4 linked regions of the Arabidopsis thaliana genome follow. The protein of the gene in region 4 interacts with the protein of the main gene of each other region in a biochemical or structural test. Each region holds a gene or a part of one and is shown on either strand. Other genes may lie near its edges. The genes, in order: COP1, PP5.2, PKS1 and PHYA.

What was found.
Region 1: the proteins of PHYA (region 4) and COP1 form a complex in vitro, tested with the Arabidopsis thaliana proteins (one study listed by BioGRID).
Region 2: the proteins of PHYA (region 4) and PP5.2 form a complex in vitro, tested with the Arabidopsis thaliana proteins (one study listed by BioGRID).
Region 3: the proteins of PHYA (region 4) and PKS1 form a complex in vitro, tested with the Arabidopsis thaliana proteins (one study listed by BioGRID).

Annotation. Positions count from the first base shown.
Region 1 is NC_003071.7:13,975,957-13,983,901, reverse strand, and holds COP1 (Transducin/WD40 repeat-like superfamily protein), read right to left. Parts: upstream 6,022-7,945; 5' UTR 5,903-6,021; coding exon 5,585-5,902; intron 5,246-5,584; coding exon 5,168-5,245; intron 5,034-5,167; coding exon of another isoform or gene 5,030-5,033; coding exon 4,874-5,029; intron 4,617-4,873; coding exon 4,266-4,616; intron 3,696-4,265; coding exon 3,538-3,695; intron 3,444-3,537; coding exon 3,378-3,443; intron 2,851-3,377; coding exon 2,772-2,850; intron 2,482-2,771; coding exon 2,326-2,481; intron 2,230-2,325; coding exon 2,131-2,229; intron 1,525-2,130; coding exon 1,420-1,524; intron 1,278-1,419; coding exon 1,098-1,277; intron 1,013-1,097; coding exon 902-1,012; intron 791-901; coding exon 620-790; 3' UTR 293-619; downstream 1-292. Other genes in the region: AGO6 (Argonaute family protein), read left to right, coding at 7,046-7,228, 7,316-7,521, 7,619-7,837. UniProt on the Arabidopsis thaliana protein: E3 ubiquitin-protein ligase that acts as a repressor of photomorphogenesis and as an activator of etiolation in darkness.
Region 2 is NC_003071.7:17,811,418-17,818,370, reverse strand, and holds PP5.2 (protein phosphatase 5.2), read left to right. Parts: upstream 1-1,598; 5' UTR 1,599-1,816; exon of another isoform or gene 1,817-2,221; intron 2,222-2,418; 5' UTR 2,419-2,474; coding exon 2,475-2,550; intron 2,551-2,658; coding exon 2,659-2,828; intron 2,829-2,903; coding exon 2,904-2,975; intron 2,976-3,331; coding exon 3,332-3,482; intron 3,483-3,651; coding exon 3,652-3,813; intron 3,814-4,152; coding exon 4,153-4,261; intron 4,262-4,340; coding exon 4,341-4,458; intron 4,459-4,731; coding exon 4,732-4,879; intron 4,880-5,037; coding exon 5,038-5,286; intron 5,287-5,376; coding exon 5,377-5,502; intron 5,503-5,596; coding exon 5,597-5,697; intron 5,698-5,782; coding exon 5,783-5,857; intron 5,858-5,975; coding exon 5,976-6,035; 3' UTR 6,036-6,436; downstream 6,437-6,953. Other genes in the region: HVA22F (HVA22-like protein F), read left to right, coding at 70-116, 215-241, 319-441, 533-785, 885-911. UniProt on the Arabidopsis thaliana protein: Isoform 2 dephosphorylates phosphorylated phytochromes, with a preference toward Pfr forms, and enhances phytochrome-mediated photoresponses, probably by enhancing their stability and their binding affinity for light signal transducers such as NDPK2.
Region 3 is NC_003071.7:853,551-858,246, forward strand, and holds PKS1 (phytochrome kinase substrate 1), read right to left. Parts: upstream 3,176-4,696; 5' UTR 2,919-3,175; coding exon 1,599-2,918; 3' UTR 527-1,598; downstream 1-526. UniProt on the Arabidopsis thaliana protein: May be responsible for light-regulated cytoplasmic sequestration of phytochromes or may be a negative regulator of phytochrome B signaling. Component of the network that modulates the very low-fluence response (VLFR) branch of phyA signaling.
Region 4 is NC_003070.9:3,094,674-3,101,716, forward strand, and holds PHYA (phytochrome A), read right to left. Parts: upstream 5,158-7,043; 5' UTR 4,755-5,157; coding exon 4,750-4,754; intron 4,551-4,749; coding exon 2,485-4,550; intron 2,287-2,484; coding exon 1,470-2,286; intron 1,400-1,469; coding exon 1,109-1,399; intron 1,027-1,108; coding exon 825-1,026; 3' UTR 530-824; downstream 1-529. UniProt on the Arabidopsis thaliana protein: Regulatory photoreceptor which exists in two forms that are reversibly interconvertible by light: the Pr form that absorbs maximally in the red region of the spectrum and the Pfr form that absorbs maximally in the far-red region.

The sequences.
Region 1 (7,945 bases), on a different chromosome or scaffold from region 4:
ACGAAAACTAAAATGTTTGGCCATGTGATTTAAACTTCACAAAGCATGCATGATTTTATATAGACATCATGCCATCCCTAGTTGCGTATCCAAATTTAAAAGGGTTACTCTTATAGTATTGATACGACCAATTTATGAAAATGTGTCACACAATCACTTTGTTATGAGTTAATTTAGAGGTGTTAAGTAATTGTATATAATTTCACTTATGACACAAATTCGTCAATTCTCATGAATTTTACATTATAAAATGATTTTTTTTTTTCAATGATCTTGCTACATGAACATACTAATGACTTATTGCATGGGTCGGACCTTTTGTATAAGCCAAGGTTTGACTTTTCATGACCGATTCACATCACCGCATTTTGATTCTAACATTTAATTATATAAAGTAGAAGCTAAGAAACCGTAAGACATATCTACATCACTGATACAAATTCTTCTTGAGGAGTGTTCCAAGGCAAGCATAATAATACAAAGTTGCTTTCCAAATGATGAACCCTACTTTTAATAAATTGTTCTCTCTCTATATGTAACTCCCACTAAAGAACATAGACGGCAAATTTGTTTTTATTGATTCACGAAGCTATAAGATCTTTTGTAATGTCTACTAGAATCACGCAGCGAGTACCAGAACTTTGATGGTTCCTTGACTATTCGCAGTCAACATCGTGGGACTATCACTCTTCCAGCAAACCGCACTAATAAAGTAGGAACCTGCCTCTTCCTCTGCATCGTCCATGTCTGGCGATCCAAATCTGTGCGATGTCACGGGTCTCGTGATTTCCTGCATCGCATCATTCACATTTTAAAATACTTGAGCAACGACAGGTTGAAAATCTGTGAATCATGAATGAAAAATGCTAAAGTTGAGAGCAGAGGTTTCGGATTTGTGAACCTTGTGATATACATATACTTCGTTTGTCTCGCTTCCACAGGCGAGATACTCGCTGTTCACTGTGAGACCCACAAAGTTCTTCTCGTTAGTATGTCCTCTGAATGTTCGAACCTGAAAAGTAAAATTGAACAACATAGTCAAGACAAGTTTTTCTTTTTGACTGAATCTGCAAGATTGGCTCGGGCAGTAATCTAACTGGCAAGTTGTCTTTGACATCCCATAAGCGTAGTGTGCTATCTGTGGACGCAGAAGCGAGCTCGTTGTTGGACAAAAATTTAACATAGGAAACTGCTTTCTTGTGTCCACTGAAGACATGAAGTGGTTGGCTTATGTTTCTTAGATCGTAATAATGGATGTGATGATCAGCTGATCCGACCTGTGATAAGTCAACAGGCTTAAACGTCTAAGTCTCTCTATCTAATTAAAGATTATATCTAGAGACGTGTGATAGTGTCATGCTGATCATGAGTGGTAGCGAATAAATGTGAGATGCAAAGTTGAGGCGTGGAAGTATATACCGCAATGTAGTTGCTTGAGCCAGGATTGTACTTGACACAACATATGTTTGCTTTCATATCAATATTAATCACACTTGCTTCCTGCCTCGTGCACCAAACTTTAACCTGGATCAAACACACAGCACAATTGGTTAATCTATGAGACATGATTTAACAGATGCAATAATGCATGGTTGAGGATTAACTAGTAGTGAATTGACTTAAAAGGAGCCCACTGGTATAATATGCTTTTGTCAGAATTAGAAATCCAGTGAATTTTTCAATAACGTTTAATTAAATTTGGACAAATGAAGCTACAAAATTTCAAGGTAAAATCTACTATATACAAGTGTCCAGTTTCGTTTGTTTCCTAATGTATAGCCACCACAGATACACTAAGGGGAAAATTTTGCTGAAAATTTAAGAAACCAACAAACATTCAATGTAGGAAGGGCTACATATGACCAATCCCCAAGTTGGGAAGAACAACTCAAAGAAAAGTTTAAGAAGTAGTAGAAAAGATTCATGAGAACACAATGTACTAATGAGCAAGTAGGAGATTCTCCAGTTTTGTTTCACAATATGTCTCTTTAGTTCGTCGTAGAAATTAGACAAATCCGTGACCAAGTTAGTTATAAGAGCTAGGAGATATCTAAAAGTAGTATTCTTTTTATATGAGACATAGCCCAATGTGAGATGAAAGGTGATAACGGAAAATATGGAGATATTTACCTTGCAGTCGTCACTACCAGATACAAGCATTGATGGTTCTGTTCGTGAAAAGTCAACACTCCAGGCACGTTTTTCGTGCTCTTCATACTCCATAAGACTCTGCCTCAGTTTACATAAAAATTCAAATACGCTGCAGAATTCATGAGATGAATATCTTATAGGTGCGATGTTAGATACTTTGGGTAAAGTACTCACCTGCCTAGTAGTTACATCCCACACTGTTACTATTCCTTCATAATCACTGCTTGCTATGTGATTTTTTTCATGCTTATTCCAACTCAAGCAACTAAGTTTAGACCGAGTTGACATCTCCACAATCGGACACTGCATATCTGCTGGTTCATTTACAACCTGAAAAGTAGCAGCCGATAATCAATCAGTTCAGCGTGGTCCATTGGATAAAACAGAAAATTAAAACCAAAAATTTGATTAGCTTTGATTTATATTCTTCTACGCAATACAAAAGTGTAAAATGGCTATCTTGCATCAAAGCTAGAATTTCCCAAGAGCATAACTTAGTTTCATTATCAACGAAGCTTTCTTAGAATTGAGATGCATGATCAGTTTCACAAAAGCATAAGGTTGGACAAGAAGATTCAATTGGTATGTAATTGAATGCACTCCAAGATTTATGAACGTACCGAAGAGAAGTCAAAAACCTTTATACATCTAGAAACACCAGCAGTGGCAAACAGCTCATCATCACGATCAAACTCTATGCTGAAAAGGAACAGCACCCTCTTCATCAGCAAAATCAGTAAGATGGTACATCAAATTACAGGTAAACTAGAGGTCCAGGCAAAGCATAAAGCATGTAAACTATGGAAGACCATAAACCAAAGCACATAGAGAGAAAAAGATATGAGCCCCGGAGCTCCCAGACCATAAACTAAAAATATATATCTTTCGTCTCTTCATTGAGAAGAGACACTTTCATATAAAAGATCGCAAACCGATTCTATATATTCCGACATGGATAAGGATAACATAGTGTTCCATCTTTTAGAAAATTCTCCTCAAGTGGCCTGCTGACTACACAACCTTCTCCCTACCATGTCAGCAGTTTTATCTTCATACTATTCACTGGCTTAGAATTACACAGCAACGAATCCCATAGTAATAATTGCGTCTATCAATACATTAAACAAAACTTAATCACTTAAGGGTCTATTTTGATATATTCGGAGACATTCTTTTGGTACCTATCATCTGTTATCTGATCAACGAACAAGGAATAGAAAATTCACCTTGATACAATGTTGGCTGAATGAAATATATCCCCATGCCGGATTTCTGCTATAACTCTTAGACGACTGTGAATAAAGAGTGCAATTAAAACCCCAACTAATTCGAAAACACTCTTTATGTACGGCTAGACCGATTGAAAAGGGATAGTCACTCCTCTACCTGTAGCGAGTGAAGGTAGTCAACACAGATTGAAAATCTGCAAGGCCGTTGCTATAGCCTTCCCTCCGTACTACACTCTTATCATTTTCTTGTTTACTATTTGGTTGGTCTGCCAACTGACGCCGCTTTTGGAGGTAACATTCTTGTAAATCATTGAACTACAAGACAAGACACTTTAACAGAATTAGGCAATCTGTGCATATATCAACAAGCAGTTACAGAGAGATTAAAGGACCATGCAGGTTTTTTCAAGAAAACTACTATAATTGTGATTGCATAGTATTCACAGAACTGTTAGTGTGTCTAGAGAACATAGTGACTTTTTGTTGCTATAGTACCAGAGAGACAAGAAGCGGCTACTATCACTAAGCAGTAGATATAAAGTCCAGAAAGCTATTTCTACTTTTACGTGCAAACAATACGAAATCAATCTCTCTGAAGTCCAATCGGCTTTTTATAAAGACCACCAAAAATGTGGGCCTTAATCTAAGGTATCTTTTCCGTAAGAAGATTCATCCTCTACCCACAACCACTTTCAATTTCTCGAGCTGTCAATCCAGATGACCAAGAGCTGAGTAGCTAGGCATGGTAGTAACTGTAACACAATCACTGGGGCCTAATTGTAGTAATTATTCTTATTCTTTAATAGACAAATATCTTAAACTTTAATGCCATTGTCCTTTTACCATTTCAGCATAAAGATGTTGAGTAGACAAGGAGGAACAAACCTGAGCATGAATCCGTTTCTTTCTAGCCATTGAGACAGTTGACTGATTCAAACTTTGCGAATCTGACCCACTCAGCGCATCCTTCTTTGGTAGCCCATGAGAGCTTCCTTGTGCCTTCCCCTCTACCTTTTTGTTTTGATAATTGCCTACAAAATTTCCTCCTCTTATGCTGAGAGAATTGGAGTTGAAACCAATCTGGTTCTTCTCATGTGGCCATGCATTTCTTGTGCTTGGATCATCTCCGAGCATCCGCAACTTTACAGAATATCTGTCCCTAGCTCGGTATAAATCTATTCTATGTCTCTCAACGGCATTTATATCTTCTTTAATATACTGGAGATCAGTTTGCACCTACATTAAGATAGAGAAGACATAAATGACAGAATTCTATAATATTCTGAGATCTCATCTAACATTCAGGGGTTATACGTCTCATGAATAGTTGGATAGATCATACATCTATTGATAGAAACATGGTTTATGGCTTTCTTTTACAACAACTATACAGTCTAAACCCAGTGAAGATTTTGAAGCAAATGGAATGAAGAGCAACGAGAATAATTATCAATAGGTAGCCCAATGCTACTCCATAATTCAGACAAACCAACCTCATTTAGTTCATCAACTTTTTGCTTCCTTAGACAATGCAAAAAGTCCAAAAGTATCTGCATGTTCCTCTCAGCTTCTTCCTGTTCCATTTTTCTCTTCCTTTCCGCAAGAAGTGTCAGAAGATTATCAACCTCCTTAATTGACACATCACAACCCTGTCTAAGTATGAACGCAGGAAGTCAATATTTGATCAAAAGAAATGACTTAGAATTGCTTTTTACTCCAATAATAATTCTGAGAAAGCAAACTTAAAGAGGAAAAAATGAAACATAAAAAGCTTGTTAAGAACCGACCCTTTGTAGTGCTTCCCGAAACTGATCCAAGGGCGATGCAGTTTTTGACACATGCCGAGCTGAAGTTTTCTTCAATAGCTACACAATTGATACATAAACGTCATATAATAAGCTGCATTCCAGTGATAAATAGTTTCAATACACTATCATTCCTATAAACATGCTTCTATTTAGCTGTAATAAGCAGAATCCTACCACAATACTACACATCAAAAACAAAACAAAACCTTCCTAAGAAAATCTAATGGCAAGGTTCATTGGAATCGATTAAAGACTAAGCTAGCTTACTTGTTTCCACAAAAACCACGACAAAAACCAAACTTGATTACAAGCTAAGACTCAAACAAGCAACACCCGAACTTGAACTGAAAAGCTAAGGACCAAACACAAATTACGAGTAAAATTAGAAAAAGAAACCTTATCGAGCAAGAAATTAGGGTAAAGCTGATTATTGGTGAGGTGTTGGCTACAACAGGGACAATCACTCTTGTTCCTAAGATGTGTGATGATACACATATAGCAGAAACTATGACCACAAGCCGTGAGGAAAGCATCTTTAATAATCTGCATACAAATCGGACAAAGCAAGTCTTTATCCAGATCCGGTGCTCCAATCTCAGAACCGCCGCTTCCTCCGTCGTCATTTTCATGACGATTAGCACCTTCACCAACTGAAGATGTTCTCGGGTCAGGTTTCACCGCTGGAACAACCGGATCCGTCGAAATCTCTTCCATTTTGCTTTCAAAAGATTTCTTCGATTGTGATTTTGGTTTTTGAGAAAATCGGAATTGTGAGAAAAGAGTGGTTTGGGTATGACGTCGGAGATGAAGGAGGAGTGAGGCTGAGGTGTGGTGGGATCCACCGTGGTTCTTTTCTGAGGTGACAAATCCTACACGTTCTGGTCTACGCGCTTCTTTTCGCGCGTGTGTCTGGCGTTTCTCCAAGCGCTGGTACGGTTTAATTATCCGGCTTCTAATTTATAGTCCGGTTCAATGAAATTTCTTACAATTACCACGACGGTCTAATTTAATTTCTTACAACCATTCATTTTATTTCTTACTATTTGAAATGAATAAGTTGGGAATTTCAATCCATTCAACCGGAGCATAACCCTAGAAATAGAATAAGTTTTGAAGGATTCGGTTTAATAATTTTGGAATAAACCATTTTTATTTCAGTTCTTAAATTTTGTTACTGTAAAAAATGACTGAAAAGTGAAATATATTTTAATTTTCCCATCACTGGAAACGTTCCCTCCATTCTTTTGCTTGTCTGGGAAACCCAAAGAGACTGTGACGGAGAAGAGAAATGAGCTAAATAAATTCCTCTCTTTGATTCACCGGAACCCTAGAAATCCTCTTCTTAATTCTTTCAAAGGTGCGCTGTTTTCACTAGATATCGCTGTTGTAATTGTTGTTGATTCGGAGCTAGGTTTTGTTTTTGTCTCTCTTTCGGAGAATTTGCATGAAGCTAGGATTTGTCTGTTGATAGTTGTATGGTTTTGGCTGCGTTGTTTCTCTCTTGAAAGTCTTGTTATGCTACTGTATGACACACTCGAATGAGTTTTTGTTTGTGTAATGTTTCTCAATTTTGAAGGCGACCAACAGTTAAAGGTGCCATTTTTTTTCCAGATTAAGTTTGTTCCTCATCTGAAATTTATACCATTTCTCGCGATTTAGCAGGATATGCCCAGAAATTAAAATCTTAGAACGACAATGGTGGTAAAGTTTTTAGCTTTTTACCTTTTGGAGTTGTCTTCTTAATTTGGTGTTTTTCTTTTCTTTCTTAGTCTCCTGAGCATTGTGTTTTGGACTGGTTTTTGCACACTGTAACCAACCTCCACTTTTCTCTCTTGCAGATTATTTTCCCCTGGAAGGATGGAGACATCTTCATCTCTGCCACTGTCACCCATAAGTATAGAACCAGAACAGCCCAGCCATCGAGATTATGACATCACAACTAGACGTGGGGTTGGAACCACAGGCAACCCAATAGAATTGTGCACCAATCACTTTAATGTTTCTGTGAGACAGCCGGATGTAGTATTTTACCAGTACACTGTAAGATTCATTAGTCACTTTTCTGCATTCTTTCATCAGTGTCTGTGCGTGTGTGAGATGTTTGACATATCGGTACCTTTTTTGCAGGTTAGTATCACCACAGAAAACGGTGATGCTGTTGATGGGACAGGAATAAGCAGAAAGCTTATGGACCAACTATTCAAGACTTACTCTTCTGATCTTGATGGTAAAAGGTTGGCATATGATGGAGAGAAGACTTTATATACTGTTGGTCCTCTACCACAGAACGAATTTGACTTTCTAGTCATCGTGGAAGGGTCATTTTCAAAACGGTATGTCCCTCTTATCTGGATTGATATTTAATCGTTTCAAGGTGTCAAGATAGATCTTGTTGATCTTCTAACTAACGCAGTCTTGTTAAGTTTATAGTGATTGTGGTGTCTCTGATGGTGGTAGTTCTTCCGGTACTTGCAAGCGATCAAAACGTTCTTTCTTGCCAAGAAGTTACAAGGTTCAGATACATTATGCTGCAGAAATACCGTTGAAGACTGTTCTTGGCACTCAGAGAGGAGCTTATACACCAGATAAGAGTGCTCAGGATGCACTTAGAGTGCTTGACATTGTACTGAGGCAGCAAGCAGCTGAAAGGTAAATCTTTCTATCTGTTTGCTTTTGTGCAGTTTATATTTTTATTAAAATAGATACTCTACGTTCTAATGGACCAATTTTTATTATCATATTTTCACTTTGTTGGTG
Region 2 (6,953 bases), on a different chromosome or scaffold from region 4:
CCAACGTCACAGTGCTAAAGACGTTTGAGAAAGTTTCTGTTGAAAGAAGAGTAAAAACTCAAAAAGAAAATGGGTTTCATTATTGCGATTGCAAAACGTTTTGATGCTCTAGTTGGGTAGGATTTTATTCAAATTCTGTCTCATATAATAAAAATAAACACTATATTTGTCAAATTTTTAACATTATTTTCTTCCTTTTTCTTGTTGCATGCAGGCCTGGAGTCATGCTTCTCTATCCTCTGTAAGTGATATCAAATCTGAATTTAAATGTTTGGTTTTTACAAATGCAACTTGATAGTTAACTGAATAAATGATTAGGTATGCATCATTTCGAGCAATAGAGAGTCCAACAATGTTAGATGATCAACAATGGCTTACATATTGGATCATTTACTCTTTAATAACGATATTCGAGCTATCCGTTTGGAGAGTCCTTGCCTGGTAATTACAATATTATTCACTAAATTCTGTTACGAATTCAAAAATTTATGCCTATAAAGACAAAAAAATGGTGTTCTTTTGCATATTGTAGGCTACCATTTTGGCCATACTTGAAGCTTTTGTTCTGTATGTGGTTGGTGCTACCAATGTTCAGTGGTGCAGCTTACATTTACTCCAATTTTGTTAGACAATACGTCAAAATTGGGATGAATGTTGGAGGAGGAACGAATTATACAGACGAACAAAGAAGAGTTTTACAGATGATGAGTCTTGATGCTAGAAAATCGGTTCAAGACTACGTTGACCGGTTTGGATGGGATTCTGTTGAGAAAGCAATCAAAGCGGTATATGATTTCTCTTGTTGATCTTTAATATAGTTATGTATATATAATCCAATACATATATTCTGGGAGTTTAACTTCATTATTTGTGTTCAAATGTAGGCTGAAAAAGAAACTAGAAAGCATTGAGATGGAAGATCAAGAGTCAAGAAAAACATTACTCTTTGGTTTGTACATGTATGTACATAGATTGTATAGAGCAATACTATAATGAAAAAGATATATATGTTTGAAAGATTTATGGTGACAAATTTGTGTTCTAGTACTCTATGACCAAAGATACTATTAGAGAAGCCAGTCCAACTCTTTTTGACAACATACATTTGGATGGGTCTCAATTTGATTAAACAAAACATCAGGACACGATTCGAATTAAAATGAGAATACAACACTCTTTTTGACATAAAAATAAAAATAAAATTCAAGCTCGCGCTATATCACAATTGGTGTTTTGCTAATTTCCTAAATCTAATTTTATTCTAATTTAATTATGTAAAATAATAAAATCACATCTTTGGAAGTTTTTAAATGTAATTCATATAACGACAAAAAAAATGTAATTCATATGACGTAAAAAAAATGTGATTAATTTTGTTAGGGTCATTAATCTATATTCTATACTTTAATACTCTGAGATCCGTGATTATTATTATTTGTCCATCTCTATCCACAAACCATACATAAAAAATTGATATATGACGTCAGAAAAAGATAATACAAGTCTACATATCTCTTCGTCCATTTATTTAATTTAATTGGTAAAGAATTGAGTGCGCAAAATTAATAATTTCCAATTTATCAAAAAAAAACACATTAATAATTTTATTTTTTATTTTGTTCAACTTAAAAAAAGAAAAGAACACACATTAATAATTTCCAAAAACCCCTCTTTTCTCATAGATTGAAGCGTATACTCTAATTTGACCAATCTAATCTAGGGTTTCTAGTCACTTGAAGCTTCTCTTAAAAAACCTGTCTCACTCCTCGTCAACCTCTTCCTCTCCCGCTGTCGCCAAGATTGAATCTTTTTTCAGGTTTGAATCTATCTTTAGAGTAATGAGTTTCTCTGATTTCCCGACAAAACATGTCTTAAACGCTGGCTTCCTTCTGTTGTTGTCCAGTTCTGCTTTCCTCTTATCTGGGTTTTAATAGATCCTTTCACAGAATTTGTTTGTAAGTGATATATTTTTTCCACTTGTCACGGCCACGATTCTGATTATTCTTCTAATTCGTTGTTGAGCTGTTATGAAAACGATGCAGAATTTGAAAGTTCACAACTTTTTGCTTCTTATCTATTCGCTTAATGCTTTTTTATCTGTTATGTTTCGTGTTCTTAGCTGGATTTAGTTATGTGCGTTTTTCAAGTTCATTAATGTGTAGGAATGTTTTTCTGTGTGAATGACTTCTCTTCCTCCTATGTATCTCGTTGCATGACTAAAGTCAGTGGCTGTATTACGAAAAATCTATACTTTATTTAGGTTGAGTATAATTTCAATGTCTAAAGCTCTTAAACTAGCTCCCTGTTAAGTAGAAAACTTATTGATGAGGAATTGGCCAAGTGATTATGATTATTGCTATCGTGCATTTGGGCATGACTGAGATAAAACCTTAACTTTACATATTTTCTGTCAATCAGTTGTGGCTTCACCGGATAATAAGGAATTCAGTAAGAGATAAGTTCATCCTGACAACATGGAGACCAAGAATGAGAATTCTGATGTTTCACGGGCAGAGGAGTTTAAAAGTCAGGCCAACGAAGCTTTTAAAGGTGTGTAATTTATCATAAACCTTTACATAATCTTGTGGCATCAGTTTATTTCAACTCTTTTAGTGAGGTACTCCTATCTTTTTGCTTAATGTTGTTTGTTGCTTACAGGTCACAAATACTCCAGTGCTATTGATCTATATACAAAAGCTATTGAACTCAACAGCAACAACGCTGTGTATTGGGCAAATCGTGCATTTGCTCACACAAAACTGGAGGAATATGGCAGTGCAATACAGGATGCATCGAAGGCCATTGAAGTTGATTCAAGATACTCTAAGGTATCATCCTGTGACAAGATGTTCCTGTTTCTTCGTGTATTCAGCCATATTCACTGATTATCTACTGAATCACAGGGCTATTACAGGCGTGGTGCTGCGTATCTTGCCATGGGAAAATTTAAGGATGCCTTGAAGGACTTCCAACAGGTTAGTGTTTCTTGCACGAGCATTGTGCCATTTAAGTTGTTGTCTCTTTCGTTTATATTTGTTAGCTGCTGATCTGATAGTCCTCTTTCTAGTTTACTCTAAACTTTTTGAGTGAGGATCAGCTCAGTTGAGAAATGTCAAAATACTATAGATGAAATGTTGTAGGCTTGTATAGCTTGAACCCACCCAAATGGTCATAACTTGATTGTTTTGGTCTGATCAAGTGATTAGATCCTGGAAACTTGATAGAGTGATAGTTATCTGTCAAAATCTGGTTTGGTGGTCGACTGTCTTGATCTTTTAAGCAAGACTAGCGTGTATGGTATTGTTGACTTGGTCTGCTATATATATTTTAGGTAAAAAGGCTTTCTCCTAATGACCCTGATGCCACAAGAAAGCTAAAGGAATGTGAGAAAGCAGTGATGAAACTCAAATTTGAAGAAGCAATCTCTGTGCCAGTATCTGAAAGGCGTTCAGTAGCTGAGTCCATTGACTTCCATACAATAGGTATCCTTCATCTGTTTGCTTATTTTTTGGTTGTCTTATAGCTTGCAGTTTGTTGTGTCACCTGGTTCTTTCGTCTCTTGTTATGCCATGCCTTTGATTCAGTAGTTGAAAAATGGTTGAATGTAGCTTTAGACTAGTAATCATTCTTCTACCTATTGTCACATAATAGGGAACAAACCCAGATCATCATCCATGCCCACCAAAACGGCTTTAGCAGCAGTTGTTGCAGCAGTAATGGTGGTGGCGGTCCGGGGATTTGCCACAACTGAGATACTCATGGTGTTGGTTTCGGTGGTATTAGGGACATTTTGGTGGGGTAGCTTCAGTGGTAGTAGTGTCTTTTCTCTGGTTAAACCCTCATCCTAGGATCAATGTGGATTGTTTTCATGCATATCAAAACCTGGATAGTTTCCTTTCTTGGAGTCTCAGTTGAGAATTGACAAAGCTCAATGATATTGATGTCAAAAACATCTCAACAGGAGTGGAACATTTCATAGATTTACTAATATCTCTATTTTTGTTTTGTTATGATAGCATACCTCTTTTACTACATTGTAAAAAATGTGTATCCATGACTTGTAGCTTTTAATATTCATTGATAAATGGTGTTCACTGTTACAGAGTTCTTAACCTTTTGTCAATTTACTTATTCTTTTCAATTTTATTGTAGAGGTTGAGCCACAATATTCTGGTGCTAGAATTGAGGGAGAGGAAGTTACCTTAGATTTTGTGAAAACGATGATGGAGGATTTTAAGAACCAAAAAACATTGCATAAACGGTATGTATTGTTTTGGGGGTACTCAACTTAATTTACACAGTTACCATATGTTCATGCTTTGCGGGCACTTTATATGTAGGTATGCCTATCAAATCGTCTTACAGACTAGGCAAATCTTGCTAGCACTGCCTTCTCTTGTTGATATAAGTGTTCCACATGGCAAACATATCACTGTTTGCGGTGACGTTCATGGTCAGGTATGCTTTGGTTTCACCTACTCTCCGAACATAATATTTTAATGTCTCAAATGAATCTGCGAGGATCCACCATCTCCTGTTCTCTTGTTTATATATGTAGAAGTTTTCAATAAACCGGTTCCCATACTATATTTCTGGAATTGGATTTTATTATGAATCATTCTACTTTTCATATCTTGAATTTATTGGCTAACCTTCTACTCCCTCTTGCACTATTAAGGGCTGTATTGTGTTGTATTGGGTGTATGTTTGACACATTGTTTGCTTTTGCAGTTCTACGATCTTCTCAATATCTTTGAGCTTAATGGCCTCCCTTCGGAGGAGAACCCATACCTATTTAATGGCGACTTTGTGGACAGAGGCTCATTCTCCGTTGAGATCATCCTCACTTTGTTTGCTTTCAAGTGCATGTGCCCATCATGTAAGTTCTCTAAAACTTTGTTGTAATAATTCTTTGATGTTCATGTTTTAATTGCTTTTGCTATCACTGGCAAGGATTAAATTATTTACTATTGTCTGATGGGGTTAAAAGTTTCCATTTTAATTGTAAATCGCCATTTACACACCTTTGTACTGCAGCCATATATCTAGCCAGAGGAAACCATGAAAGCAAGAGCATGAACAAAATTTATGGTTTTGAGGGTGAGGTTCGGTCCAAGTTGAGTGAAAAATTCGTGGATCTCTTTGCTGAAGTTTTCTGTTACCTCCCGTTGGCTCATGTTATAAATGGGAAGGTCTTCGTGGTACATGGAGGTCTTTTCAGTGTTGACGGCGTGAAACTCTCAGACATCAGAGCCATTGACAGATTCTGTGAGCCACCAGAGGAAGGTATGTTTCATCATATACATCTTCTGTAAGATTACTTCTCATGTAATTGTGTTCTGTTTAATCATCTTATCTTGCTAATGGTTTATGCAGGACTAATGTGTGAACTATTGTGGAGTGATCCTCAACCTCTCCCTGGAAGAGGCCCAAGCAAGCGAGGAGTTGGTCTATCATTTGGTGGAGATGTGACAAAGAGGTTTTTGCAAGATAACAATTTAGGTTAGTTCACTGTCTTGTTATTATCGGGGTTTGGTTTCGCAAACTAATATTTACTTGAGATAGCTATTAACTTGCATTTTCATGATTGTGGCAGATTTGTTGGTCCGGTCACATGAAGTAAAAGATGAAGGTTATGAGGTTGAACATGACGGTAAACTCATAACTGTCTTCTCTGCGCCAAATTACTGTGATCAGGTAACTCAGACACTCCTGTCTTCTTATTTCAAAACAGCACCCAGTTACTTGATTCTTTACTTAACATGGACTGGTATTGTTGTAGATGGGTAATAAGGGAGCCTTCATTCGTTTTGAAGCTCCTGATATGAAGCCAAACATTGTTACATTCTCAGCAGTGGTGAGTGTAGTCCTCTTACATAGCATTGTTCTTATGAATGTTTCACAGAAGATAGTTCACGGTTTGATTTAGACTCATTCAAACACTCTTCTAATTTTCTGATATTGTTATTTCCCAGCCTCATCCGGATGTGAAGCCTATGGCATATGCAAACAACTTTCTCAGGATGTTCAACTAACCAGCAAAAAGCTTCTTCTACTCAAAATGCTATTCTAAAGACTCAAGACCAGAAGTGGTTCAGAAACATAATGATATAAGTTTTTTTTTCCCTTTATCTTCTGCAGTTTTTTCATGTTGTTCCAGAAAAGGGAGGCCATGATAATTAAAGGTACAGTATCCGGATTTGATCGTTTTTTTTCTTCTTCCTTCTTTTCTGATAAAGATTTTCACTCTTCCTTTAAGCTTATCCAGCAACTTTTGTCCCTTTTGTCTTATGTTGTAAGAGGGGGTAATGTATCATTCTTATTTTAGATGAAAATCTTGTGATTACTCAACAAAAGAGTGACCAAATGACCCCCCAAAACTTTGTACTTAAAATGGTTTCTTGAATCAAAAATCAAAAGGTGTTTCTTTAAAGCTTCTTGTCTGCTTCTTAGAGTCTTTTTGAATGGAGTTTAATTCAAATATTCAAGCAAAGACAGCAAACAAAAACAGAGAGGTCAATAGTGTTGAGTTCTTGCAACAGTTACTCTCGTGTAGATTCAGTTTTTCCCTTATTTGAGTTTGTACAAATGGTGTGACCTGTTTAAATACAACAGTCTAAAGAAAGTTAATAACACTATTGTTTTCCCCACTCTCTTACATGAGCTGTTTCAGATCAAAATACCTGCAGATTCTCCCATGAATTTTGCAGAGAATTTTGACAAAGTATGTGCTTTTGTTTAGCGATGACAAACCACTACTGAATCACAGAATCATAAACCTTGTTTTAGTCCATGCATGGATAGATAGATAGATACATGTACTAAAATGTGGAGAAAGCAAAAGTAGATGGAGTGGTGTCAAATCGTAAAGCACTGATGAAAGGCCTGAGAGATCGAGAAAGCATTACGTGGATTACATAAAAACAATTTACAAAAATTGTCAGATGTTTAAG
Region 3 (4,696 bases), on a different chromosome or scaffold from region 4:
GAGTTTATGATCTTCTTGAAATAACTGGTAATGGTTTCACTCGGGGCAATTGAACATTAAACGTTACTTGGTAATCAGAGGCAGAGCACTGTGATTGTTATCTTTGTGAAAATCGAGTGATCTTTCCTTTAAAGGTTTATTTTTCTCATGTTATGATACACTTAGGGGTGCTTTAAAAAGATTTGATTTTCTTTATGTTGGCATATGATCATTATTTCCTTCTCTCTGTGGAAGATATTAGGAACTGACACATAGCTAGAGACAGTCAAGAATCCTAGTTTTGATGTACTGTTACCACTTTGTTGTCAGATAATATAAGATTGTTATTTCTATAATCATCATCTGTTCCTGAACCTATGTTTGGGGTTTTTTTGTATTCTTTTGGTAACATGAAGTAATGGAGATGCAGCAAACGACCACACAAGACTCTTCTCCTTCTCTTGGTGGGCTCCTGAGGAACGAACCCCTTTCACATCAAGACAGTGAATGTTTCACCACAAACTCTATGGAATTAAATAGAAACTTCTCTCAGCCATTTTTTGTCATGTGGGATCAGAGTCTCATCTCATTACCAACTTGCCTTTATTCACTTGACGAAAGAGAGCAAGCGGATGCTTTGAGGCAATGTCCAACCAAAGAATTCAAAGATGAGTAATCTTGTTTTGCTTTCTTAACACAAAATGTCTTCTTGCTTTTGTTGTTCTTCTCTCATCCACATATGAAAACTAAGTAGTTAGATGATTAGATTTTTATATATAGTGTGGTCAATTATTTTCTCATATCTTTTGAGAAGGGTACAATACTTATCTTCAAGATCTGTATGTTTCTTGGTTTTAAGCCCATACTAGCTATACTAGCTTTGATGTCATCATCTTGGTTTCATTTATGTCTTTTCTTGAAATCTAATTAGCCCTTTTTGAAATATCTTACAGAGAAATATCAGTGAACTGGATAAGATCATTTGGGGTAAATTCGATCATTTCCCTTATGAGTAGGCTACAGAGACAAACATCTTTGATCTTTCTTTGCATTTATTGTCTTAGTAAGGCACTTTGGTTCTTTTCTCTCATATTGTCAACTAGCAATTAAGGTTTTGTCTACCTTACTTTTATTTCAGACATATACATGGCCTTTAGATGAGTTTCAGGACCAGATCTTAGATATGTTAGGTAATATGACACTTTCATTGATTTAAGTTTCCTCATTAATAGCTCTTTCTGTCAATCTAGTGTACGTTTGATTTAACCCTTTCAAGCTAAGACAAAACTCATATCTCTCTCTCTTGAGTCTTGAGACTAAATCCAAAAAAGGTAAAACTTGGTGGAGCCAATTTTTGGAATGTCTCTCTGCTTATTTTGCTGAATTTGAGATCTGTGTTTTTAACTGACCATAATGTTTTGTTTTCACTCTCCAATCATTTGTCACTCTTTGAGTAACTTTTTCTTAGGTGCAAAAGGTCTCTAAGAAACCCTTTTAAATTGATTTGATCATGGACTCAACAAGACATTATTATAAGTTTACATATCTTTCTCACTCAGTAGAAATTATAGATAAAGAGAGATCAGAGATTGAAATCTTTTTCTTTTACTTTCTTGCAATCACTGACTATAAAGAAGAGATGATTGTGTGTGAGAAATCGAGCTGTTGCTGATCCTTCTTCGTGTTTCGAAACTCTTAGGTTTAGTAGTCTCCATTGGGAATCTAGGAACGTAACTCGGTTGTGTCTTGTTCATGCTGCTTCTTCTGTCTAAATCACCAGAAACCATAACAGATTTATGACTCTTGCAGCTCATCAAGAAACCATTCCCTCCGCTGCTGCTACTCGATTTCCGTCTCTGCGGTGCTGATTTAGCGGTAATAGGGATTCGAGGAATCTGAGTAGGTCGGTTTCTTCTTACAGGACTTGTTGCACATTCTGACATAACAGAGAAATCTGCTGCACTTGCTGTCACTATGCTCCACTCTACGCTTACTTCACTTGGCGCATAACACGTAGGTGAAGCTGGATCACTTCCTTGCCTCGTAAGAAAAGGTTTAGGGTTCCCTGTAAGACCCTCTATCTCGAAAAGATCCGAGCTTGAATCACTCCCTTCACTCTTTGTGTCGTCCTCCTCTGTTCTCGATTTCCATGGAGGCAATGGTAGTTTCTTCTGAACAACACTACTCTTCTTCTCAATAGCCACTGGAGATCCAAAAACTTCAAGAGACTTCCTCTGTGATAACTCCTCTTGCTTCTGAATCTTGATCAGTTCTGTGTTCATATCCGCAGAAGATCTCATTGTGATAACAGAGATATTCGGATCAGCGCTTCTCTTGACCGAGGTTTTCTCCTCGACATCTACAGAATCCCCATCAGAGCATGCGCATTTACACCCCAAATTTGCGAGAAAACTCTTCTTATTATTGGTCACCTTTTGAATCTGACCATTACTGTTCTTCTTTTCCTTGAAGGAACTGTTGCAGCTATTCACCAGTTTGTTCTGAAGCAACACGCTCTGACTATTCCAGCTTGATTCAGACCGGACACTCGGAGTACCAGTAGATTTCTTCGCGCTCTGCTTCGAGTCGACGACGGTTCTCTCAACTTCTGGGTTTGTCAGAGACAGAACACTAGAACCTTGGTCTGAATCCATGTCTCCATTGAAGTACTTCTCAGCTCCAAACACACCAATCTCTGGATCTTCAGGAGCTTTCTTCACCATTTTCTTCTCATCACCAAACTCCTCTTGTTTTGGATTAATGCTCATGTTTAGTGTTTTGCTTGGTTCCATGAGCTTCTTGGTCGTGACAAGAGCATCTTCCTTGCTGCTCAAGTAAGAAGAAGAAGAAACATAGAGACTGCTGTGACTGTTGTTATTCTTCATGAAATCAAAAGATGTTTTTGGGGTACTAGCAGAAGATGGTGTTAGTGTCACCATTTTCTCTTTGGTAGCTTTATATTTTTTTCTCTCTTTATTGCTTGTGTGTAGATATGTGGAATTAGGGTATAAATAGAGTAACAAGACGATATGTTTGATAGCTGTTTTTTTTTTTTTTTCTGAAGCTAAAAGTGTTATGATCTGATCAATGTGAGTGGGTTCCAGTTTGAGTCATTGGCCAGTTGTTGTGTGTGTGAACTGATTTATTTATATATTTGGATAATGAATCTTTGCCAATCAATGGAGAATAATCGAAAAATAATGTTACCCCCGTGACCACAAAAGAAAGGAATTATAATGATATGGTCTTAATTCGATTAGGACTTATTAATACAACAGTACTAGTATACTACTCACATTGCAACTGGATCTCTTAAATAATTTTCTAACCTGCAGATTTCAGAAAGTGTTTTTTTTTATACGTTCAATATTCGTATTTTGTACGTAGACGTTTAGCACTACTATACGTTTTTAAGATTCCGATTTAAAACACATTTGCTACTATATTTGTAGCAACTAAAACCAACTCCAACCGTAGTTTTTTAGTAGAAACTCATACAATTACAAAAAAAAATTATAAATTAAAAAAGAGATGAGAGAGAATCTCTAAAATTGGGAGGATCGTTTCTATTATTCATATAGGTTGTTTTTTTTTGTTTTTTGGATATAAAAATAAAATATTAATACTTTTTGTTTTTTTAGAAACTATATGAATCCTATACATTGGAGGTGCTCTAATGTACAATCCGTTCGGACACGTTAATTACAGATGGGGGTGTATGGCTATATACTTCACATTCATACGATTGTTGAACCTTGTGAGATAATTGAGATGATTAGCTTTAGCAAGAAGAGATGATTTTGTTGGATTGTGTGCAGGTTTAAAACAATCTGATTTGCATTGAGGACTCTCTGTTATAAACCAACATTTTTTTATTATTCTTAAAGGACTCTCTGTTATAAACCAACATTTTTTTATTATTCTTAAAGGACTCTCTTAATTACTTAAACTAAAATTTTGATTAGCATTGTATGTTAAAATAAAATAATACATTGGATAAATAAATTAAACAAAAACATACATTGGATAAACTTATTAACCATCATACAATTAACAAATTAATGACATCGTCAATAAGATCGGAAGATAAATGATTGGATTTTACCAATGGTGTCAAAGAGTTTTACATGAGAAAAAAAGTAGATTTAATGTATTGTTTTTCTTAATTACTTCAAATTAAAGTATTGTTTCACATACTTAATAATGGGCTGACAAGTTTTCGGACACACATTTTCAAAGACATGTTAGGATTGAGCTGACAAGTGAATCTGGATTTACTTGTATTTTAACTTCTAACTTTTTTCAACTAGAAAAGTAGTGGATATGGATTTCACTTGAGGAACAAAAATACAAAAATAGAAACTTAGAAAGCACGAGGGATGTACGTATTTTGTTGCATGGGGAGATATTGACAAAGACCATCGAGTTGGGTTTTGTTAAATATAGTAATATTTTATGTTATGATTTGACGTACGCTCTATAATTTATGTGTAATGTATATTAGAAAATTCATGGAATCGTATCTTGTCATATAATACATATCAAATAATGTGTATTGTTTTTGTTAAATATAACATAACGAAAGATTAATTAATTCAAACATAAAATCTATGTATCTGTCAATCAAGAATATTGTGTAATGTAGTTAATAAAATATGCTTATTAGTTGCTATAGTCGACGTATCACGTATGAATGGTTCGAATTGATCCCACAGCA
Region 4 (7,043 bases):
CTGTTTTTTTCTAAAGGGAAGATCTTTTTATCTTCTTTGATTTGTCTTCTGTAATAAAAAAGGAACAATAACTGATGATCTTCAGTGTGCATTTGAGCTCCATAGTCTCATGTATTCGTCTTCTTGTATAATCCATATTATTTTTTGTTCAAAGTTGACTAAAGACAGGTAAGAAGTCGAGGTTGATCTAATCTAAAAGCTTTCAAAACAGGTAAGCTAATTTATCTGACTTTTCAGATAAAATAATCAACTTGAGAGACTCTTAACGTATGGGTCTAATAAAACTGATTACTTAATTAACATGATAACTTATTTTTTACTTCACACACCATGTGCTTCTTCTAACAGAAAACTAAGTGTACTTCATATGGCCAGCTAATAGATCTCTGTTAAGTTCGAAGAACTATGTTTGCTTCTTCATGGAGTTGAGCCAAAGCTAATTGTTTGAAACCAAGACTTCTTGCAACATAGTCACGAATCATGCATTACCTCTAATACCTTAAAAGAAGGAGATTATATGAAACTAGATAGAATATTTGTTTGAGTTTCTGCCATTATGATAAACCATGGACCGTAAACATTAGCTCATTTCTCCTATATTACTTATTTTGAATGATACATCATGAAACCAAAACACTCAGGAGGAGATTAGATATGCATCCATATTTACAGCTTCAGAAAAGAGTTCAACAGAAGATGTAAATGGATGGATATTTCATCGTTACTGAAATTTGAAAACGAAAACAAAAGCGATAAGGAAAGTTACAAGCAAAGAACAACCAGTGACTATTTTATATCAAGCCAGACCCCTTTTCTTTTGGGGACTACTTGTTTGCTGCAGCGAGTTCCGCAGTGATAATGAAACTTGATTTCCCAGCTTGTCTCAAGTACTGAACATCTCCATTCATCAGCTTCACCAGTTTCCGGCTAACCATTAAGCTCAATCCTTCTTCTGACACATCTTCCTCAGTCCCAAACATTTGGTTTAGTAAAAACTCAGGTATCCCAGCTCCGGTATGCGTTAACCTGTTTTCATAATCCCAATATCCTCAATGCACTGTTTTTAACATCATATTATGCATTCTGATTATGAATATATCTATTTTACCTGATCTCTAGATTAGCAAGATGCACAGAACGCCCGAGCTGATCCTTCCTCAGGGAAGCTGAAACAGTTAGCTGACCTCCGGATGGTGTAAAGTTTACAGCCATCAGCATGAAATCTGCCAAGACTTGTTGAAGCCTAATACTGTCTCCATACAAAGTGTCAGACATTACTTCTTCTCCGGTCTCATTTGTTATCCGAACACTCTTTCCGTTACTCTTCATCATTACTTGACTTGTGGAAGCAGTCAACACTTCATTTAAGGTGAATTCTTTCATTTCCAAATCCAAGCATCTGCACAGTCAAATTCCAACATAAGAACACAGATAAACCATATTTTAAATGGACTTTCATTCTAGCATACCCTTCAATGATGCTTTCAAGATCCGAATCATCGAGGATCTTGCTTAGTTGCTTCTGACATAACGCGCTAGTTTGCAAAATCCGTCTTTGCTCTGGTCCTAATTCAGTACCCTCTATCATTTTCCTTGTAAACATGATCCCAGATAGCGGATTCCTGATCTGTCTTTTTATGTATGCTAGAGCCTTTAGTCTCTTCACTGCGGTTCGCTCAGCTAAACGTTGAACATGGAGCGCTTGCTGCAGCTCATGGCTGGCAAGTTGCAGGAAACAGAAGACACCTGTCACTACACCTTCCCTGTCCAGTTTCTTACTCACACACAACAGACACTCCACATACTTGCCACCTCTTGTAAAGAAAGCAAACGATACTTTCTCTGGATCTTGACTGGTCACAGCATTGTTCAGCACAATCCCAAGGTTTACAAAGGCTTCTTGATTCTTTAGACGACAACATGACTTCTGCGTCCCAAATACTTCTCCTAAGAGCATTTTGTCAATCACTTCCTCTCGCTTCAAACCGGTTAACTTTGACATTGCTGGATTCCACTCTGTGCACCATCCAAACTCATCGGTACCAAATATTGGCGGGATCAGCGGGTTTGGATTTTGGATGATTGCCTTGTAATCACCTTCAATCCGCGTAAACTTGTCCATCACAGTCTTCTGGCCAGTAAGATCATGGGCTACAAAACACACCCCAACCACGTTTTCATGGAGATCTCTACTTGCGCATGCATTTACAACTAAACTTATTGGCCCAGCATCAGCCCTGGACAGATGTGTCTTGATCTCAAACTGGACATTCTGCTCCTCAGTTCCTGCATAGATAAGCAAGTGAAGTTATAGACTCGGCTTCAGTGTTTGATAAAATTGGAAAACAAAATTCCATCATTAAGAACCAAAAACAACACATTGCATCAAGTTTCTTCGACCACGATACTCAATTGGAACTTGAATAGTGAAATCTAGTTGGAAGATTCTTAGCAAACTCAGCATAACTTAGGAAGAGAGTTTACCTTCTAATGCGTTCTCTAGCATCCTTTTAACGATTTCCACTGAAGAATCTTCAACAAGTGTGAGGAAATGCTTCCCGATTGCTTCATCAACCGAAAGACCAGTCAGCTCAGCAATTTTCGTGTTCCAACCATTAACCAGTCCATCAGAATCAACCGCCAATATTGGCACCGTAGCAGTCTCAATTAAACGAACCATCTCACTGGTCACAGCTTCTAGTTCTTGTATACCATCAATTTTGAGATCATTTAGCTTCGAGTAAATGACCTTTGTATTCACATCAGTAGTTTCACTATCCTTGAAAGCATTCCTCAAAATAAGTTGCAAGGAGTGTATGGCATCCATCTCATAGTCCTTCCAAGGTAAACTCCTTGTCTTGACCACTTCAAGGAAAGCCTTGAACGATGACCTTGGGTGCATTCTCCTTGCATCATCCCTATCATCTGGATCATGCTTCGCACCTCCCCATCTCACTTCACCAGCGGTATGAGAACGGAACCAGAAAATCATGTCTTTCGATGATATCCTCACAGCTGCCATCCCACATACCGAATCCCCGAGAGATAGAGCCCTAGGAAACCCGGCGTCATGCAAACTATCAGTGCTCAAACCCGTTGAATCCATGTGGTATTCACACAACCATGAAGCTATCTCCTGCAGGTGGAACTCACTTGGAGTTGTTCCCAGTTTCCATATCTTGTCTTTATACAAGAGAGCTGCTCCATCACATTTCACAAGGTCCATTATGTTGGGGCTTTGCGACACAATACCCAGTGGAGCATCACGCATCAGCATATCGCACAAGAGTGTCTGCGTGCGCAAAATGTTCTTCTCCACCATCTGGTTATCGAGTTCCACCTCCTTATTGACGTGTATGGCAAACACTTGAGCTAGAAACTCACAGGCATACCTGAGAGGAAATGGAACAAACCTCGGAGTCGTATTGTGACAAACCACTAAACCCCATAGTCTCTTTCTCTTTTGAGGCTGTGTAGTAGCATCAGGAGCATCCCCTTCTCCATCTTCCTCGTTAACTACAACCGCCATAACCAGAGATGCAATTGAATCCATGTTGGCCATGTACTGCAAATGGCAGCTGTGCGGTGCTCTAAGGGTGGAGCCACACAAGGTAAGGTCAAAGGAAAGCTTTTCATCTTGAAGCACCCTAGCATGTTTTGCATTGCAATCAACTATCATCCGGACCTTGTTCTTCATAAACAGAAAACGGGCTGCTTGAGGGATGTCGGTGGCAGGATAATGCAGCCCAAGATAAGGCTCCAGCCCAGGTTTTGTAACCTCGGAGACAACCTCACCGTGATCATCTTCATGAAACTTATAAGCCATCACCCTGTCATACCCCGTGAGTTCAAAAACCTCTTGAACCATTGTATCACAAAGCCTTTCCATACTCCCGCTGGGTAAAGATTGCAGCCTAGTGATTGCTTTGGCAGCGAGCTTGTATGATTGTAAGGCACCAGCAGCTGTCATGGGGACTTCATAAGGCTTCACGGGTTCAAAGTCGATGATGATGCTCCCTGTAACCCTGTGGATAATCGCATAAAAGGGCTTTGCAGAAGTCCTGCAGTGCACAAGAATGGGATTCAAAAGAGAGACATCTCCAAATCCAAGGGCTTTCTGCAATGCAGACGCACTAGGAGCAGTGAAAAGACTCCTTATATCTGTCCCAATGCCTAGAACAGGGTGTTCGCCAACACTAGGAACTGCATGACTGGCCATTGTCAACAGCTCAGATGCATTCTCGCTGTATGCAATAACTTTGAAGGTCTTCTCATCCAAGGCAAGTAAACAACCGAAGGGCTGAATCAGCTTTCCCTTCTGTATATGATGAAGATAAGTCGTGGTAACTTTGTCAGACCTTGGTGGCTGATTCTCCACAACCGGGCCAGTGACACGCACTGAGGTTGAGTAATCAAAGGAGCTGCCTGACTCCTCAAAATCAGCATGGAGTTTCGCATCTACAGTGGTCTGCGCAATGATCCTAGCGCTGTGCCTTGATCGCCTTGAGCCCTCAGAGGACTGAGTCGGCCTAGAGCCTGACATTTTTTTCCTGACACAGAGACAAGACAACAAAAAATAAGTGCAAAACTCTGATAAAAGAGGGAATAAAACATTCATGCCATAATCATATGAACACAAAAACATTCATCACCAGTCATACAAGCGAATGCATAAGCATAAACTTGAAACACTAAGAACCAATTCAGAATTTCAAACACACAGTAAAAAGAGTTATGAACTTGACTAACTCCATCGAGAATACATAGCTAAACCCAGAAACAGGACGCAACAGATGCAGGAATCATCGTGTCATATTCCAAGGTTCAATGATTTATCATTTTCAAAGTAACTGAACCAGTCAGATTCCATGAACACTTCCTTTCTAAGTCATCCTACAATCCAAAATCAACAACATCTTGACTATGAACAAGTCGCACAAATAATAGTTGATAGTTAACAGGGTAAATCCACTACACAAATACTAACAAAACGAGGATCTGAGCTAATATCAGCCTCTCAAGATTCAAACACAGCTACATACATAAAGTAGACTCAATAATAAACTCTTAAGAGTCTTTATAGCTAGCTATACCTTTCAAAAGGAACAATAAAGTCCCCACAGGGAAAGCAATCGTAGGAGTTAAAAGCGATAAAAGGATGAGATTAATTAATTGGATGCTTCTTCTCATAAATGATCACACACTATAAAAAGTTGAGTAAAACAAACACACATCAAGCCAGATCGAAAGAGACCTACAAAACCTTTATATCGCAGAAAACAAGAGGGTATTGATGACAACAGAGGATAGCTTTAAGAAATTAACTTCAAAGTTAGAATCAATTTCAGTAAGAAGAGTGAGACCAGTAGCTAGCTGGTAAGCTCCCAGCAGAAATCAATCGAAGCAAGCTTCAATATATATAGTTAAAAAAAGAAAAAAAAGGAGGAAACTTTGGGAAAAGGAAAGTAGGTACCTTTAAAGAGAAGAAAGAAGAAGAAGAAGTTTCAAGAAGCCATGATCAGATCTTGTGACTAGTCACACTCGTCAGAGGCTTTTTGTTATAGTTAAATTCTAAATCTTGGCCTCGATCACCACCTTCTCTCTTGTGCTACGCCTCTCTATTATTTGTGCTCCCTAACACAGACGACGACGATGAATGGGACCACCCCGAATACGTATGCCCATGTCTCGGAGTATGGGCGATTTGTATATTTTATAATGGAATAAAATAAAAGAAGAAAAAAGCTTAATTTGGATAAAAGACAAACTTCACACACATATCAAGAACAGGGTCGGCTTCGCCGGTAACATTTTCCTCGCTAAAACAGAACAGTGGGCTTAAGATATATCAAGTACTACTACTTGTAAATCTTGGCAACTTTCTGGGGAATATTAATTGATATTTTCACCGATGTGACTAAGACTGTGTAATGAGGAAAAAAGAAGTAAAGTGGAAGAAGAACAAAATGGGGTTGATTCTTATAAATCCGATTGAAGAGAATCGTCCAAAGGATAAGAGATCAAAAGTAAAAAAAAAAAAAAAGATTATTAATAAAATAAAAAAACGAGAAAGAGAGAGAGAAAGAAAGATGGTGGTAGTTGTTTAATGAAGGCAGTAACCAGAAGTAGAAAGTTGGGTTTTGAGGAAGACGACAACGATAGTCTTATGGGCTTCACGTTTTCTCGGCTTTTTGCGTTTTGTAATCTGTTTCTGGGATTTACTTCAAAGTTGGGACTTTCCTTTTTTGTATTTTTTTTTATCGTTGAAAGAAAGTAATAAAATTTGTAAAACTAATTTAAGTTTATTCGAAGAATTTAAATTTGTTTTATTTTTTATATAAAAAGGGTAAAAAAATCGTTATTAAGGTTTTATTTTTTTTTCGTCAAACAAAATCCATATCGTTTTAACATCATTGTCAAACTTCGATTCGTTCTTATCGCAAATCCACGTTACCATGTTTTCTTAGGTATTTTGCTTCTATCCTCTTAAAGTTAAATCTCCCCCTAAGTTTTTTGCAGTAAATCTCCGGAGAAGATCGAATCGACAACGTCTTATCTAGACAGCGCAATTCAGCATAGATATTGTGGCACAGCTATGTTGGACCAAAAATGTGCCTCCATAATGCAAATGTTGTCCTAGCAACACAGTATCATCCATTAGACATAGTCATGGCCCATGTTGCACATATCTGAATTGGCAAAAGGTACTAATCCCATTTCAGGAATAACACTTTGAAGAACAAAACAAATATGAGCTTAGGAGACTTCTTAATGGCCGGCCAAGAACGCTTCAATCACTAGGGATGTGATGGTTTGGAACTTTAAGGCGCCCTTTGAGAGCTATTTCATTTTCACTCTTTTGATATTGAACTCTCAAAACAACTGTTCATTACCATGTGTTTTCTCGGTTTTTAATGTGTGTATTTGTGTGAAACAAGGCCAATAATCTATATACGAAAATAAAGAAAATGGTTCTTTACACCAAAACTTCCGTATTAAAAAGAACATTTAAAATCTGTTATCGTCACTGTAATAAACAATGT